Linked DNA regions of Tribolium castaneum. The protein of the gene in region 1 purifies or fractionates together with the protein of each later gene. This does not show direct contact. Links are inferred from orthologs where the notes say so. Each region holds a gene or a part of one and is shown in the gene's direction. Other genes may lie near its edges. The genes, in order: proton-coupled zinc antiporter SLC30A2 and protein-L-histidine N-pros-methyltransferase.

Region 1 (9,419 bases):
TCAAATAGCAACTACTACACTACAGGAAAGAATAATTTAAATTACAAAACACTAAGAAGAGTTTACCATTGCATCCCATTTACCACTTACCACACAGTTTGAGGATCAAATCCACCAATGAAATCAACTGCAAGCAGATTAATCATAAAATTATTGGCTGATTATAATGACATAACCAGCCAATTAAAAGTGAAGCTTTATTATACACAATGTGAGTTAGTAAAATACCTACAATCTACAAATAATACACGCACAAGGGCAACTTACAAGTATCATCTTCCTCTAAAAATATGCGACTTAAACAAATTCCAATCACAATTCCGATTAACTGAAAAATACAATAGATCAGTGTTTGTAACAAACAGTAAAGAACAAACATACAGAAGCCACACATTGTAACCCTGCCTGGAATATTTCAACGTGTACGTAATTTACAAGACAATTCTCACTAGCAGTCTGATAGGATTCACTCAAAATGCGCTTACATCCTGGTCCCTCGTTACTCCACCAGCTCTCACTCTTTGGGTCCAATTTGAGCACTTTATTAGTCTACAAAATTAGAAAACTGTATCGGGTGGCTAGAAAAAAGTGAACCCTGTTTAAGGCCTCACTCCTTATTTATTGCTGCCAAAGATATTAGGATTTAAACAGAACTCGTTTTTGCATTTTTTTAATAAAAGTTAAAAAACATTTTATATATTTTTTTATTTTTTTGCTTTTAAGTTTTTACTTATTCTCTTTAGGGAGTAAGTAACTACATAAAATTGCATTGTCACCTAGATTACGTAAGTATGCAAAATTTCAATTCATTCGAACAACGGGAAATTTGGCTCGAAAATATGAAACAAAAGTAAAAAGAAAATGAACACTTCTTACAACAGAGACTATAGACTAAAAGCACTATTAAATATTTTAGATTACGAAAAATGTAATTACACAATCTGACCAAAATTTTGCAAATAAAAAATCGTGATTGTTTAACTTTCCTGCAGTCATTTTTTAAAGTTATGGCGCATGACTGTTATACCTTATGGTCCAAGTTGGCTACATCTAAATATAAACAAATGATGAAAACGTTCCAACCCAACCAGAAAAGGTGCCACAAAATGTACTAAAATAAACAAAGTCGTACAATTGTTGAAGGAAAACCAGCAAATACTCACCGATATGATATATTTAGGCCGATATTGATATGCACCAAAAAATCCCAGTATTATGAAAATAATTTCAAAGAAGTTCACAAGAATTGGTATCCACAAAAATCCCAGAAAATCAAACACCTGCCTCTCGATAACTGATAACTAAATGGAAGTTTGCCAATTACAATATCAAAAGAACAATGAAACGAGCCTTACCATTTGTAAGAGACAAACTGATAAAAAAAAGTATCTTCTTGAGCAAAATCCCATGACATTTAGCCTTTTCCTGGTTGATCTTTCGTTAAACCTTTTTACAACAGCCTAGACAACGCAAAAACCACCCACTTAACCATCATCATTATTTAAATAAAAAAATTCGTAAACAATTACACACAACAGAAAAAACTTGAGTCTAAGCTACACTACTTTACACTTTTATTTGACATTTCACTCAAGTCACTAAAACGGCTGCCCGTGAGAGAGAAATATCCCCAAATATTCAAAAAATGTTGTAAGTTTGAAGCGGGACGTCACAGACACTCATACTGTAAATCTCCGCAGCGTTTTTTAAGTTCTTTTGGCGTAATTTAATAACATTAGTTCGAGTGTTTTGCCGGAATTTCACTTTCCTCAAGTATACTCCCGTGCTACTCGTGAAGACCACTGGTGTATTGATGTAAAGACGGTGACGGTTCAAAGAACCGGCGCGAAGCTTTAAATATTTCACCAAAACGTAGGCCGTCAGAGCCAAAAACAAGAGAAAAGAAAAAATTGCCACATAATTTAGTACAGAAAGCACCATGAAGCTTTGCTTCATGCATAGCTCGCATTTTTGACACAATCACCTGTAGACTGGATGTGAAGGTTTGTTTACCTCATCGTCATGGAAACAACAAATTATTTAATCAATTATTGAACATTTCTCACTTGAATTATTGAAACGTACTGTTGAAGTAATTTATTTAAACAAAGATATGCAATAAACACAAGAAATAATCACGACTGTTTTTTTTTTAATTGTGTTCCTCTACCGTTCCTTTTACGTAATTATACTAGTTTTTTACAATATTATAAACGGTGATTTTTCTAATTTTCGTCGAGATTTTTGTTGATTTTTGGTACTCGGAACATTTAGGTTGAAATAACTCCGGAACTGTTAGAGAAAACCCTATAAGTTTATCTATCTTTATTCTGCAGTTCATAGTTTAAAAAAAAGCTTCATAACTAAAAAACTATTCAAAATTTGGCGATCTTTTTAATGCCAATCGATTCCCCGGGTCATTTTACATAGGTTTAGGCTAAAATAGTTCCACTTTGTCCAATAATTTTGCCATAATTAAGAAAAACATTGAATTCTTTATTTTCAATAAGTTGGATAACTTGGACTTTTTCAGTGATTATTTTTGGTATTTTATTATTATTATTAAAAAAAAGACTTTATCTGGTCAAATTTTTATAGAAAAAAACGGGTTTTTTGTTTTGTAAACGTGCAGAGTTTATTCTTTCACGACAAAATGCCCCAGTATATCAGAAACTTGAATCACTTGTTTTTTTGGTTTACTAATTTATTGACAAAACACGTCCACTCATATAAAAATGTCATACCATAAATATGTACAAAGCGAAAGTAAAACTTGAGTTGAAAAAAGATGAATTCCCGCCTCTACGTATAGCATTACAGTTTTCTTTATAATATAAGTTATTTTAGTCTTAGATGCTTCTAAGAGATGTCACTAAATTTATACTACTATATGTAATTTTCAAATATTCATTTAAGGGTCGTAAGACCCTTAATATCTAGTAATTAATAATTCTCAGTTTGATAGTGATTGGAAATAGATATATCTAAATGATTTTCAATCCGTCTCTTGATTTATATCATATATAATTATTTCTGGTTTCTGGAGAAAAAAAACAGTTAATGCAACAACGATTACCAATTAGAAATCACTGTCTAGGTGGATTAATGGGTATATTTTATAGGTGATTTATTAAAAATTAGTCGAGTGATTGAATCTGATAAGCGCAGATTAGAAACACTCTTTAGAAATCAACGTCTTGTTTGTATTTATTCAACTAGGTACCTACTTGAAATAGATAAGAAACTGTCGGGCCGGGTGCACAAACACTCCTTAGTTCACAAAGATAACAATAACTTATTGCCCAGAAACTGAACATGAACATATTCTGACATTCTGAGATTAATCCGTGCCCACGTAAATGAAAAACAAACTGGCAAGTGGTTGAATAGCCATAAAAATGCAGGATGAAAACGAAAATAAGTCTCTTCTATTGTAAGTATCTCAAAACTCTGGTATCTCGCGATAGTATTTATTTCTAGTTTAAATAATAGTAACAAATACGGAGCAATGCACAGTGACAGTAGCGGCACTCCTAAAAAAGTGATATTTTGTGTTCATGGAAAACCAAGTGCTGGTTGCTGCAAAGTTTTACAAAGTGAAGTCATCGACATCAAAGAGGGAGATTCGGTTGATACACCGACCAAAGAAAATCAGGATGCCACCGAAATGAGTAAGTTGTCGGCCGCTTATCACACGATAAGCACCAAATGATTTCACAGCAAACAGGCTGAACAAAAAGTAGCAGACTAGCCTACGTTCTTCAAAAATTATTTTCCCAATTAATTAAAAAATACTGTATTTGCCGTCTTTTTTCAGTTAATAAACATTGCCATCGAGGGAAATCTCCGGAAATTGATCGCAAAGCTAGGCGAAAATTAATTGTAGCTAGTGTATTATGTGTACTTTTCATGATCGGAGAAGTTATAGGTGGGTAAATTATTCATTGTTATTTTGGCTTTAATTTTCCGAGTTTAGGTGGCTACCTGTCAAATAGCTTGGCAATAGCCTCTGATGCCGCTCACCTTCTTACCGACTTTGCGAGTTTTATGATATCTCTGTTTGCCTTATGGATGGCAACTAGGCCCTCCACCAAGACAATGCACTTTGGGTGGTACCGCGCTGAAGTGATAGGTGCTCTGACTTCCGTCCTACTAATTTGGGTAGTTACTGGAATACTGGTCTACATTGCCGTACAAAGAGTCATCCATAAGTCCTTTGATATCGATAGTAAAGTAATGCTAATCACCTCCGGTATCGGCGTTATTGTGAACTTAATGTGAGTAAATTGCTCTAACTAGCTAAGCTCCATGGTAATTTTCAGAATGGGTTTAACACTCCACCAACATGGGCATTCCCATGGAGGTGGTAGCACACATTCCCACGATAACATCAACGTCAGAGCGGCTTTTATTCACGTTATCGGCGACTTTTTGCAAAGTTTTGGTGTTTTCGTGGCCGCTGCTGTGATTTATTTCAACGTAATTGGGAAAAAACGCTAAATTATTTTTACGAAATTGTAATTTCAGGAACAATGGGTCATAATTGACCCCATCTGTACCTTCATTTTTTCAGTATTAGTGATGTTTACCACGTTCAATATTATCAAAGATACGTTAACAGTGCTGATGGAAGGAGCTCCCAAAGGAATTGATTTCAATCAAGTCATGAAAACGCTTCTAAATATAGAAGGAGTTAAAAGAGTTCATAACTTGAGAATATGGGGCCTAAGTTTGGATAAAATTGCAATGTCTGCTCATGTTGCTATTAGTAATATTTTACCGCAAATTGAATTTCACTATTAAAATTAACGCTCCAGGTCCTGATGTGAATCCACAAAATGTTTTAATGGTCGCTACTAAAAATATTCATGATAAATACAACTTCTTTGAGATGACACTGCAGATCGAGGAGTTCCAAGAGGCCATGGAAGACTGTAAAATGTGCCGAAATCCGGTATAAACATCATCCTTCACTAAATATTTATTAACAGTCATTATACTTATTCTATTACAAAAACCTAAACGAATTTACACATCCTACTGACGTGTTTTATTATCGCATGTATCCTTTCATTCCTCCACGTACTTAATCCTTAGATAAAAAATTCATAAGCGATTAGTTTCTAATTCTTTCTGATGACATTTTGTTCCAATTTAATTATTTGCAATAAAAAATAAAACCAGATGAATTGATATGATATAAAAATGTAATATGACATTCTTTTGGCTTGTGTAAATAAAGATGTTGAATTATTTATAATTGTAACGAGTTGCTCTTAAACTTTGTAAAGCTTTAAATTTAAACAGCATTATCGATAGTGTTACTATATATAAAAATGTCTTTTTTATAGCTTGTGAAAACAACTCAACATTTGAAAAAGTATAACGTCTAATAAAATCCTTTTTTATTTTTTGTTGTTTGGTAATAAATTTGTTTTTGGTTGTAACAAGTGCAATAAATCAGAGCAACATTTTACATTTATACGTACTTTACGTATAAAATATTCAACGCAAAAGGTCACTTGTATAGTTGTATGTTCCGTGCGAATTAAAATGTTTATTTGGACCTGACGCTTTTAATTTTCAAGGGTATAAATTGGGACGAAAACGTGCACTTTTTTAATTTTCAGTATTAAAAAGTAAAAAGGTAGGTTTTTAGTGTGTGGAATTTTGCGTACCTTTCTGTAAATCTTACGTAAGATAAAGTAAAATTGCATGGAAACACATTTTTATGTAAAAGAAGGTAAGTGTTTTACACGCGTTTGGTCTGCAAAAATTTGTATAATATTCACCTTGGCCAAGGTTGTTTTATAGGATAGGTACATTTAGTGTCCTCTGTCTGCAGAGTTCTAAGAAAAGAGATTTAAAGAAATCACCGGTTATCATCGAAATCCGATCAATGTTAATTATTGGGGTAACCACTAACCCAGAGGAAATAGGAATTAAGGAAACAGCAAATTAAAAATATATTTATGATCAGGAAATCTGCTTCATAATGACATTGAATTACGAGAAATTGGTAACATAGTCAAGGCTCTCATTAGGTTATACAAAATAATAATTTGCCCAGATTCTTCTTGGGACTCTAAACTACATATTTTAATTTTATAAGTGTACACAAAAACCAAATTAATAACACTGATTAAATTGTCCAGCAACCGTTGATTAAAAAATTTGCTATTTATTGCAACAAAAACTATTTCAAGGAAACTCATTTATATGCAATTATTTTTTCTGATAATTTACTTGCGATATGGGTTATTTTTGAAATTTCGCTTTTCTATTATCCTGAAATAATTGTTTATTACATTAAAAACGAACCAGCGATGAATGTACAAACACGCGTGCAGTAAATATTTAAATAGGTTATTCTAACTATTACATAAATATGGGTGACCAGTGGTAATGTTAAAAGATAATTTTTTTGGGCGATGGATATACAAGTATGCACTAAAGTTAGAGTCGAATGTGTGCAAGTAATAACAAACACAGCGTTATTGTTACTGTTAGACACATTTTTAATGTGTTTATATTAAAATTTCGCACTGATAATTTGAAATGAGGGCGTTTATTTTAAAATACGATAAACTAGAAAGTGGCCATAAAATTCAGTGTCACGTGTCATGTGATGTACAAAATAGATTATTAATTCATTGAACTGCTTAATATACATCGTAAAAGACTAGTTTCAGGGTAGGGTCAACGATATACTTTAATTTATATAATTAAGATACAGACAATGTCAAGATTTCTGACTCAAGCGAATGTCTCGCCAATTTAATTTTTGCAAAACCAATAATAACAGTAACGTGTTTTAAGATGTACTTGAGAATTAAAATAATTTACTAGCCATAATTATAAATAAACTCTTATTTTATTCTCCTATAATACTGTCTGTTTTACTCTGAAAGAACAGCCAAAATAGGTTTTATTAAAAAATAATGAAACGGTTTTGCCCTTCTATGACACTAATGGATTATAGTAATACTTGGTAAACTTATCAAAATAGCATCAGTTTATCAGCAAAGCAAACAAAACGTCGTCATGCTTTCGACGTAATTGTTACGCACTTTGTTCCTAAAAATCAAGAGCATTAATTAATAAGACGTTTATTCAATTTTTTTACGTCCGTATTTGCACGAAATTGGTTACGTGCAATTTTATTAAAAACTCGCCGATTTTCTGATTACGTTATAACTTACAATCATGGTATGAGCAAAATAATTGTGTACCTGACTACATTGCTTTAAAAATCATAATAACAAATAAAAACATTTCAATGAGTATTTTTCCAATGGAAGGTTATTGGAACAGAGAACGTGCAACAAGTGCAAAGTGCGAAAGAAAAAGATAAATTCATTGTATAACACAAATTGCAATCAGATATTTTGGTAAACTGCAACTTTGTACCGCTTTGTTAATTTGTTAACGGTTAGGTATTAGCCACTTTCACATTCACCAAATTAAACGTAAATGGGCCGTACTCCCACGATGCAAAAATAAATATTGGTTAATTAATTGTTATTATTTACGCGGAAATGTTTAATTTTTAATCAAAAAGAATGGTAAAAAATTTCTGAAAAATCACGTATATTATTATGGAGCAAAATAACAGATCACCTCGTATATTAATATTAATAATAAGCAAAGCGTTTGACAAAATTATGATTTTGAAATTGTAATATTTGTAGGTATTTTATTTATAACATATTTTTGTGGACCTACTTTAACGTTAATTAATAAACTGCAACTTCAGCGTTTTATTTTTAGCACATTATAGGTACATATTTTGCAATGATCATTATTATTAACCAATTGGAGTTTAACGACCTTAATTTATTGAGTGCATTTTTGCACCAAAACTATAAAATGTAAATAATAAAATGAGAATGTAATCACAAAAACAATTACACAAGTTCTACTGTGAGAACAGTAGAACGGGGGAGTTTTGTGTCCGCCTATTTTGAAAAAAACTCATTCAACTCGAAACATTTATCATTGTTATCAATAGCACACTTGACATTTTTGTAAATCCTTGTTTGAAATATGCTATTGTTTTTAATCAACGGAATCGCATCCGTTTTGATGATGCAATAAAGAAATCGCAAAATACGAATGATAAATTTTCCAATAATCAAAGTAAAAAATCTTTGATATTTGCATGACGTCATCAACTCACACCCATCACATCGCTAAAACCAATTACTACACACTTTCAGCAAAATATTTTATGCAAAACATTTGGGGATTACATAATCCAGTAATTACGAATCATTTTGTAACTTGAAAAACCTCGATGCCAATTTTCAAAAAAACGTTGCATATTTTAGTTGATCTTTGAGCTAAAATTACGCTACGTCATGTCATATGAATTTATAAAAACGCTAAATTAAACTATACATTTCCTGTTTTGAAAGAAAAATAAAAAAGGGACTAAAGTACAACTCGACAAAAACTTATTTTTGTTGTTATTAACAGCTGCTGGTGATAGAACTGAAGCGTTACATTTCAACAATACTTGTTTCTTCTCAAATTATTAACTTCCTATGTTCTACAGGCGTAATACATAAGTACTTCGTTATGCAATAATAATAAAAAATATTTTTATTTAAGTAATTCTACTTAGTTACAAAACTTACTATTATTATATTCACATTGTGAGTGAATACGTTTAACCAGACATATCAGTCAAATAAGTCGAAAAAAAGTTCACAATGTATGAACTGTTGGCGGTTTGTTGTTTGTTGATGATAGAAGTTAGACTAGATGTGCTAAGTCGGTTTTTATGCAATATACTTAATATAATTTATAGTAAAGTGCCAACTATTTAGCGCAGTTAATTGCAAAAATGACCAGAAATGAAATGAGTAGGCTGTGGGGTTTCGTTGGGACTAAGGACTAGACTATATAGAGACTTTATAATCTAATAATAATAATAGCAGTCAACGGTCGGAACTAGTTGGCATATGCATATGCATGCATGCAAAATAAAGCAAAACGCGCTCTTTCACAATGCGTATAATAATCAAATAACATAACATGGGTCAAATAAACAATCACGAAAGAGGTGTGTCTTGACGTAGTCAAGACAACAAAATGCATGTTGGTTAAGTAATTTGTGCCAATCTTCGATTATTGTTAGTTAAGGCAAGGTTAAGGTGGTGGATACCCAAATTGTTATTTGACGTAAATATCAATAAAGAATCAATACGCGCTATCAGTCGTGACGTCACCTCCCCACTCTTATTACGGTAGGTCAGTTGCTCAAAGCTAAACAACCAGTCTTTTACATGTGGTGTAATACGTTTTTCGGTTTTTTGGTTGTGTTTGTGCGTTAATAACGTGTCAAATAGCTGCAGCGGGTGTAATTTGTGCCACTAGAGACTTTAATTTAATTTAGAAGTGACTTTTTGTGAAAA
Region 2 (10,007 bases), on another chromosome or scaffold:
TCTGATAATAGAGTTGATCTGTTTAGGAATCGTGGGGCCACCTGCTACGTTCACACGTTTACGGCCGCTTTCGTCTTGTGTCCTTGTTATTATTATTTCTCAAATTTTGACATTCATAATTGCTATGAATAAATAAAACCCGCGTACAAGGGGACCCTAATACGCATCAAGGCGAGGGAGAAACAACTCGTCACATTCATTACTCTTTCATTATTTAATCGCCGATCCAGGCACCAACATACACCCGAAAATCGTCATTTTTTTTCCCTCTTTTATTGGAATAAAAATGATAATTTCGAACAGCGCTAAACGCTACATTACGATCGATTCTCGTCTCGAAAACGTTCCAGCCGAGCGACCGTCCTTGATTGAAGATGGAATATTATCCGAAGAATGTTGGGCAGTGTGATTAGAGTTTGATGTACAATTACAGATTTGTTTCCGACGCGTGGAGGAACGGTCATTGTCAGCCAGACCGCAAATTACCAATCGAATTACCTCAGGTAATGACATGACCGTCTCAAATCTGTCCTTACCAGAGAGAAAAACCGACACTCAGGTTCATCAAACTTAATTGTTACATCGCCGGATTACTATTTCACGCTTCAATAATAACCTCTCGATCGAAATTTATTCACATTTTTAATTGTACATACTTCAAAAAAACACTTGAAAAATGAGGCTATTTTCCAACACTCTGAACAATCAAGTTTTTGTCTTGAAATTTAACGAAAGTTATAACCTAAACGAGTAAATGACACATTTTTGTAAAATCTTAAAGCCCCAATTAGAGACCCAGAGGATACAATCCTAAAAATTAATTTTTGCAAAAATAACCAGAACGCTATTTCCATTATGTTTAAAAAAACTATAATATGATTTCAAACTTTCTCCGTTCATATCTATATTTAAATAACTGAAAACTTAAAATAAAAAGGTTTTTTGAAAACAAATTGTTTGTACAGCTCGGAGGGATTCTTTAAATGATGTATCTAATTTTAATAGCTTAATAATTTAATCATCTATCTACTGTGACTTGTGGAAAACGTATAAACTTGTTAAAACAAATAAATAATCAAATCAAATAAAATTAATAGAAATATTTTACTAAACTACTTATATGAACGTTTTATTTTACTTGTCAATCGGTAATTCAAGATTACCTAAATAAAATTTAGTGATTTTTTTAATCCACTTTCAAAATATTCAAAGTAATTTTTAAAAATAACTATCCTCTATGTATCAGGTGTGTTAAATGTTGCGGATAGGCTCTTAAGAGCACCTAGATAGAGCTTATACAGAACACTATTTTCGATAAAAAAAATCACAAAACCTTTAATTTGGCTAAAATCAAAAACAAAAAATGGCAACGCCGTACAAGTGTACCTATTTTTATATGTTTAGAAAAATATTTACCAAAAGTATTACCATGGTAACATTACTAAATGTTGCTGCACTTTTAAACTGGTATTTTTAACTCATTTTAAAAACCAAAAGAAATGATTTCCTAATTCTTTTTGAAAAAATTGATAATAAGTCAAGTAAACATTAAAATAAATCATTAAAAACAAAGCTAACAAGTTTGATTTTCCTACAATTCCAATTTTGACGAGCTGCTGCATCTTAAATAAGGAGCAATGATTTTTTTCTATTATTTTCTATTTTTTATTTATTTATTTTTAGCGGTCAGGTCAGGTCAGGTCAGGTCTATTATTTTTCTATTTTCTATTATTTTTCTATTTTTCTATTATTTTTTACTTATTTATTTTTAGCGGTCAATAAGACCACTATATCCATTTCCAGAGACTTTTGGCACACCGATATAACCTAACGTTTTTAAACACACTTTTGAAAAAACAAGAGTTTAGTTTACGATAGTTTAGTACTATAATTTTATTGAAAAAATACAAATAGAAAAAATCTTTTATTTGTTGAACTCTGTTACCTGTTAAAATTAACACGCGTATTTCTGACAAACCTTGTATAAAAAAATAAAAAAGTATTCTCAAAAAGTAGTATTATAATTTTATAAAATTACAGCTAAATTATGATATTGTACCTGTTGTTACTTTTTTAATAAATACGGGCAATCCTTCCTCAGACCAGAAATTTAATTTCGTAAAGTGCACTTCTGGAATGCCATTTAACGTCGGCTTTTTATGTTTTACTCTCTTGATTAATTATAATGACAGAGTTTAAAGCACTCGGAGCAATCGTTAAGCAATTAAATCCGATCGGAACACGCAACTTACTCGAAATTGAATTAGTAAAGCTGAAGACTAATTTCAGGGATTTTCACACAATTAAGTGCACTCCTATATACAGGGTGCAGCCGATAACATAACTCACCGAACTTTCTCCATATTTTACATAATAAAGACTTACTTGTTTTCACGAACCGGAACGATGCAAGAAACATTGCTTGCTGTCAAGAATAATAAGTAGATCTTTTAATAATGGGTGGCTAACTGACCATCAACCATTACAATAAGTATATGAAAGCGATTTGGGGCACTTTTTCGATCACTTTTGAGATTAGAATTAAATTAATTTGCGTCAGAGCATTCAGCTTGTTAAACTATGCAAAGTTTTTGAGTGTTTAATTATTCTTAAACCAATTTCATCACTTTTAACTTTCTCGTCATTATTGTTGATCTGCTCTATTTGCATTTTTTTGTTTCACATGTCTTACAAAAACAAAAAATCTCGTTGCTCCTCAAGTTCGCCTTTCCACTCCTCGTCGCATAAATCCTCGATATGAGAGAAAGCTCCGCGGGTGAACTCCTGCAGATAATTCACCACAAAATTTCCAACGTACATAAATCGGTTACGTAAGCAGCGTATTTCTTTCCGACAATAATTATTACAATGAGGAGGAAGTGTACGGTAATATTTATTATTTTTCCATTATTAAGTGTCGCGCAAAAAATTTCACTCAATTGTCATTTTTGAATTATTCACGGAACAATAATGTAGCCAGCGACTAATTGGTGCATTGTAAAAAGTCTTTTAATAACCTTCATGTGCTTAATGACAATTTTTTGTCGCTTTTAAAATTGTTCGAAAGTGGCGAACATTTAGGAAATATTCACGGAATTTGTAATTAATCGAAAAACACGAGGAGGTTTTTTTTGATTCGATACGAACGGGAATTATGAATTGATGGAACGCTGTAACGAGGTTTTTATTAGAATCTTAAGTTGTTCTTGCGTTATTTCAATAAAAATACGGTAAAAGGAACCCAAGGATGTATTTTAAGTTTAATCAAATGTAACAAGTAGCCTTCAATACAAGACAAGTTCAATGTCCGAAAAAAATAAAAATATTTTTGGGATCCTACGGTTTTATGATTACTTTTGAAACGCTGTGGGAATTACGATTTCGTTTGTCCACTGTTTTTTTTTTGTTTTCATAGGTTGTTGGCGGCGGTGTTGAAGGTTGACAGATTGGGGTTGGAATCAATATTCGATTGATATGGTCGTGATATGACGAAATGCTGTGACATCAATAAAAATATTGCTTATCCAAACATTTGATAATAATTTATTTTCGATGTAGTAAAAGATCACGAAAAAGCTCCACCTCGTATCGATTCCGTGAGAATTAGGTAAAATAATTTGTGTGGGGGCTTATATTAAGGAGTTTCCCCGGCACATCAACGATTTTAATAGGATTTTACGACGTTCATTACCGTCGAATGAAAAAAGGGCAATAAAAGCTGCAAAGAGCGATTGTAATAATATTTCGTTATTGGACTACTTGGCATGCGATTCGGCGTAAGAAACGAAACTCTCATTAAAATAAATCGCTAACTATACGCCCTCTTGTCCCTCCGGATCGCAGCTCGGATTTCCAATTAAAAAACCTCATTTATACTCGAGTAGAAATTACACGATGCAATTTAAAAAACCGGGAAAATCCTTAAGGAATTCCGGCCCTTAAGGGTCCGGTAAGTTGGGTCGGTTTTCCTCGCCGACGTCTCGACACTAATAAAGTATCATGCGCACGGATAATTTTTATGCGATTTAGAGATTTCGCGTGTTAAAACGTTTCTCGAATTTAATTCCGCCGTTTTAATTGGATTTTTGTTTGTGTATAAATTTCGGATTATAATTAAATTTAAATTACTCGAAACTCAATGTCGGTTTTTTCCTCGGACACGATTTCCTCCAGTCACGTCTTAATGAAAGCTTTTTGCCCCTCTTCGTCTTGCCCAAGATTAATTAAAATTTCAATTTTCAACACTTTGCACTCAAACTGCATACAGTCATAATTTCATTCTTAATTAACTTTAAGTCGCTCTTGTTTGGCTACCGAAATGAACCAACGTCGTCTTCTTTATTTTCTCCCCGAACAATTGAGATTAATGTGAATTGTAATTCCATCTGGTAGACCTGTACATTAGCCACTGCTTCATAATACGTCCATCGAGGAACAAAAAAGAAAATCTCTTTCAAATTAACATCGTGCTACTGGTTTTTGTTAATGGACCTCGGCTCTCGCTCAAAACTGATTTTCACCTCGGTTATTAATGTAATGTATGGAAGATATTTTTGACAATTACGCAATTACTTGCAAAAGACTCATTACAACTTGTTACTCAGCTCATTTCTAAAGAACAATTCCACGAAACGATCAATGCAACTTTCGAATTTAATCTAATTATTCTGACAAGTCATTTTTATCAAAACGAGCCCACGAAAATTGATTCAAATTACGCGCCTAGTAGTTTCTTGTCATCTCAAATCCAGCGCTGCCAACTCAATGACTCTATAACTGTCAAAAGTGAAAGCAAATACGCTCTAAAACCGTTCCTACGTGTCCAATTCCCTGACCCTAACATACGTTTTTTGTGATTTTACAAAACCTACCAATTTTTGTACTACTTGAGACAATTCAGTGCGTAAATTTGTGAATTCGTGCCGCATAACCTCACTTTTGTCTGTCATCAAATTCATTGTTTATTCAACTCTTCCGCGATGGTGGACGATGGTGTTTGTTACAAAAGTTCATCAGGACCGGATCGTGATTTTTGTCTCGATCAGGACATAGGGCCCACGTTGAATTTTAAGCCTCGTGGGGGCCTCGCGCGGGCTCTGTACGAGAAGCAGCAAACGGACCACTTCCTGAGTCAGTTTGACAAGAGCCAGGTCAGTAAACACGCTAATGATTGTGTGCTTGCTGTGCCTGAAAATCGCCCCTTGCCTAGGTTTTTTCAACAAGATTGAAAAACGAGCGTTTTCGTTCGGTTTCTTTGCTTTCTTTTCCCCTCGTTATGAACAATGATTACATAAATAATCCATGTAGCTGTGCAAACCCAATTATCGTCAATTTTCTTTACGTGTAGGTCATCAAAGCGTCCACCAATCATTAACAATTACTCAATAATAAATCAGTATTTGCTTTGTGAATATTTTATGGATACGTTGGTTATGGCGGGGGCGACTCGGAGGACGTGGGCATAGAGTCCCGATTCAATTTTGCGTCGAAACTCCCCAGATACACCAACGACGCACAATCGGGGATTTTATAAACTGCATATTTTTATTAAACGTTTTCGAATAAACCAATTTGCTAAACAGGGAATTCGTTACTTGCCCGCTTTTGGCAAACCAGAATTCGTTTTATGACTTCTTATCTTATCAGAATCCCACGATTAAGACATTTATTGTTCAGTCAAGGTGATGATGGTTTGTTGTGCGGTACTTGATTCACGAAGATGCTTTTCGAGAAGTCTAAGGTCATGTTGAGTGTCCAGGTGGGTAATTTTTTAGGAGTTCTTCGGAGATGGCGTGGTGGATATGAGTAAATAGAGTATCGTGACTGTAATGAGCGTTATTTCATATCGATAAAACCGCACGTTTTGTCTTTTGCATAATTTAGATCTGGTGGGGTCTTATTTATCTGTTTGTGCATTTAAATTGCTAGAAAATGAAGTTTTTCAATACTCGAAAAAATCTATATCTCGACTGAATATTACCCTTTTTCTGTAAATAAAAACTTGACTTGGAACCACAAAATTATTGTTTTTTTTTAATCGGATGGTCTAAAAATAATAGTACCTAATTAATAAAGCTAATTTACTTAATTAGCAGTTTTTATAAAACCGATCAGTAAAACACTTTCTTATTGGGTGTATAATTTTTGCAATTCTATTTTTGGTATTTGTGTCATAACGGACTAATCCATAAGAAGCCGCTTAGGGATGCGAGAAGAAATAAAGTAGTACCTAATTGATGAAAAAAAAATTAGAAAGTAAAGAATGTACATTTTTGTTATACTGTCTTTTCTTTAAAAACCCTTTAAAAATTGTTTTTGGGTATGGGAGCAAATTTTTCCATTGTGCGCTATCATTTCGATCGATTTCCTTCGGATAATGGTCCATCTCGGGGCGCGAGCGTTTGTTTGAATCGTCCTTTTGAGGTGTTCGACGCTCGATAATGATCTTAAATTCGGCGCTGATTGGGCCCTCGCCCCTCGCAGCCGGGGATTTTCATCAAATCTTTTCGCGATTCGCAAAATAAAAGAAACCGAATGTGTGTGTGTGGGGTAGTTTCAGAGCCCGTGTATGCATGGATTACTCCGGCAACGTCATTACCGAGCCCGCTCCCTAAAATACTTCAAAGAAAAGAATACAGTCCGGGTCCATGATCAGCACGATCTCACATTTGCCGCTCGCTCCAATCCGGAATGTTTAATTCGCAAAGGAGACTCGCTCTTGTGAAATGAGTTAACTGGATTTTGTACAATGGAATGTAGTTTTTATAAGAAAGTTTACTCCCTTTGTATCATTTGTGATTTAGATTTTTCTGTAATGCGATCAATTCTTCTTCGGGATAAGTTTTTAAAAAGGGGTCTCAAGGTTCTTTTCGTACGCGCGCCCGGTCGTTATTTACGCCAATTATATGCCGGGCTCTGAATAATCGCGATTGTGTTTACGAAATGTTTGCGATAAAACAAAAAGATCGTCAATGTATAACAGCTTCAAAAGCTCTAATTGGGACCGCATTTTAAATCGCATACAATGCCATTGCGGTGCCTCGGCTAACAGCGATTTTTGCTTTTTTGATTCCATTACAATAGCGTCTTTACGACAGCATCCTTTAAAAATAGCCACAAGTAACTACATTTTCATAAAATGAAACAACTGACACAAACTAATCACTCGAAATTTCAAGACGCTATTCTGGGGCTGAAGCAATTTTTGTACAGAATAAAAATAACAATAGTATCCTGTCATTAGATATTTTGCATTGTGTAAATCTCATCTTTTATTCTTTTATTTTTTGAGCATCGATTTTTGCTCCGCCGCCCTTTTCGCAGAAACAAAGCGTCACCTTAATCCCTTCGTATCCTCTTCGAACGTCTGCAATAACTTGAAATATTCATCGTAGCGTCAGATTTGGGGAACACAAACTCTTGTTAACCCCCGTCATGAATACATCACGCAGGCATCAAAAGTCCTTCTTTTGCTTCGACGGAAACGTCGTCGTCAAAGTGTAAATTACGAAACGTATGCGTTTTCCTGGTCGGTAGCGAAGCTTTTTCCCGATACGAATACATTATCAGGACGAACGATATGTTGAAGTGGTGCGTGGCGGCGTGCGATGCATAGAACTATGACTGGGAGCCACGTTGAGTGCCTAGCTAAAAGGGAAGGTACGTAACCGGAGGTTAGCATACCTTAGGGACCGCTCGTAAACTACGTCCCTTGACAAACTTCCCTCCAAAAAAACGCATAATTGTCACGCGCGCTTACTACCCGAATTTCACAATGACCGAGAGATGCACGCTTGAATAAATTAATAGTGACGAGAGCATGCAAAAATGAAAAAAATCGAAAAATGAAAAATCTACTGGCCATTACATAAAACACTATTCAATAAATTTTCAATTTTTCCTTTCTTTAAACGAAATGGGTAAGTAAACCCTTTTGTTTGGATACATTTAGGAAAATCACGTTTGATATCTGAAGGCCGAAAATTTATTGATTATGCTATGTAATTTCAATTTTCAAGTATTATTAGGTGATCAAATTTAAGTTGGAATGTGAAGATTTTAAACATTTATGAGATTTGCGATAGTTGAATACAGTGAAGTCTCCAATAAACGGACACCCACTGTGACACGTTTTTGTCTGGTTAATGGAGGTGTCCTCTTAAGAGAAACAATAAAATTAGTTTATTAAAGAGTTAGTAGCATATTATCTGATTTGTTTATTAAATATTTCTTAAAAAAAATTCTTCAAAATGTTATCATCGATCATCAATATTTGAAGATTTGTCAGAAATGTACTTAAAATTTGTACGGTATCTAAGCTTTCCTAGCTTATAACATTGAAACAAAATATGTGATTCTCTGAATTTTTTGCCGATTTGTCATAATAATATGCGTGTGTTGTTTTTATTATTATGACAAATCGGGAGATATGTATATTGTCATTGGAGATTCCAAAAATTAAATGTAAGTATCTTGTACCACACGCGTCATCACACACAAAATTTACTTGAAAAAGTAAAAAGTAAGATCGTCAGCGGGATTCAAATTTGAACTCAGTACATCAAACGACAAAAGAGACAAGCTTCTTTTAAAAATACTCAGACTTTTAAGGAAAAACATTTTTAAAACTTCAATTTCGCAAAAAACTTTTTCGTCCAAAGGGACATTTTGGTGTTGGATAGTAACCTTTCGCAATTACATATTAAGTAATCAGACAAAAATATTTAACTTTTTTTCACTTTATTTGTAACCTTTTGGAAACAAAAAAGTAGTAACTTCTTGGACTTTGAAAAATGAAGAGGTTAAAAGTTAAATAAAAAGAGTCCACATCAACTTGTACTTAATAACGTTTCATTGTTAAATTTCCATTTTCCATGTCTAAAAGACGAAGTTGTCATTTGTGGGGTGGAAGGAAGGAAGAAAATATAGTTTTTAAATCGATTTTCTGTTTTTTTCTTCGTGCCGAAAATTCGGTAAGTCCCTGCCTGATATTTCCGTCGTGAAGCGTGCGTGAAGAATGTAAACGCGTCGAGAACAGGGCCGGCTCGTGTCCAACAAGCCAACAAGTTGTCGGAGAGAATTAGCATCGATAGTGGGCTACCTGGTCGCCAATTCCCTTCGGTAGTAATCCCATTTAAATATTAAATGAATAAATCGCCGGTCGGCAGGTATGTAAACACGGTCTATATCAGATCCCGACAATCCGACCGGATTCCGACCGTTTTAATTATCAGGTCCGCCTCGATGGCATTCCGGCCCGTTCCATCCACTATTTGCTACCGTTCGGAGTTATGATTGTTATTAACATTGCACTTATCTTCGCCTCCTCATCAACATAAATAATGAGAACTTAATTAAAATCATATTTCAAAGGGTACGAATGGGAGGTGCCCGCCGTCTCTTCTGTTAACACCCGACTTTATAAATAATCCAGGGCCGGACCGGCGCTAATTATTTTATTTACTAACTACGACAGCCAAAATTACGGGATCTCATTAACTCGCTAGACGGATAAATTAACTTTCTGAATGGTTCGACATTCTTCTCACACACCTTTTAATTCGGTCGTCATTTTTCCACATAAAACTCGACTGAATATTAGATGATGAAAATCTGAAGCTGAAACGGATGCGAAACGAGACTGTGAGACAGCCAGTGTCGTTTATACCGCGTTAAACGTCACAAATCTGCATCCTGAAGGTGCATCGAGTCGATCACCGTTCGATCTCCGGTGTCTCTTGCCTCTATCTCGGAGCTCGTTTGCATCCGGGGACCGGAAAGGGAGGAGGACGGCTCCGGGAGACACACACACTCGCCAGTTTCTCCTTGCATGTGCCACGTTCACATAAGGGTTTTGGAGAAAAACACCGAGCGACTTGTATTAAACATTCACGATGATGCGTGAATTGCGAGCTGACACGACAAAACGTGCACACATTTAACTATGTATTGCAAAATCCGGAATGAGCTTAGTTTTGGTCTGGCAGACGAATGATGGTCGTTTCTCG

The links.
Region 2: the proteins of proton-coupled zinc antiporter SLC30A2 (region 1) and protein-L-histidine N-pros-methyltransferase purify together in Homo sapiens (co-immunoprecipitation; 3 studies listed by BioGRID and IntAct, with this or other methods). This does not show direct contact. The link is inferred for Tribolium castaneum from reciprocal best matches to the Homo sapiens genes SLC30A2 and METTL9.

Annotation. Positions count from the first base shown.
Region 1 is NC_087403.1:6,931,895-6,941,313, forward strand, and holds proton-coupled zinc antiporter SLC30A2, read left to right. Parts: upstream 1-3,210; 5' UTR 3,211-3,398; coding exon 3,399-3,433; intron 3,434-3,480; coding exon 3,481-3,671; intron 3,672-3,817; coding exon 3,818-3,928; intron 3,929-3,976; coding exon 3,977-4,277; intron 4,278-4,322; coding exon 4,323-4,479; intron 4,480-4,527; coding exon 4,528-4,768; intron 4,769-4,817; coding exon 4,818-4,960; 3' UTR 4,961-5,040; downstream 5,041-9,419. Other genes in the region: NKAIN (sodium/potassium-transporting ATPase subunit beta-1-interacting protein), read right to left, coding at 268-328, 382-549, 1,028-1,111, 1,164-1,301, 1,356-1,409.
Region 2 is NC_087394.1:24,600,176-24,610,182, forward strand, and holds the start of protein-L-histidine N-pros-methyltransferase, read left to right. Parts: upstream 1-4,734; 5' UTR 4,735-4,979; coding exon 4,980-5,150; intron 5,151-5,637; exon of another isoform or gene 5,638-5,719; coding exon of another isoform or gene 5,720-5,758; intron 5,759-10,007. UniProt on the Homo sapiens protein: Protein-histidine N-methyltransferase that specifically catalyzes 1-methylhistidine (pros-methylhistidine) methylation of target proteins.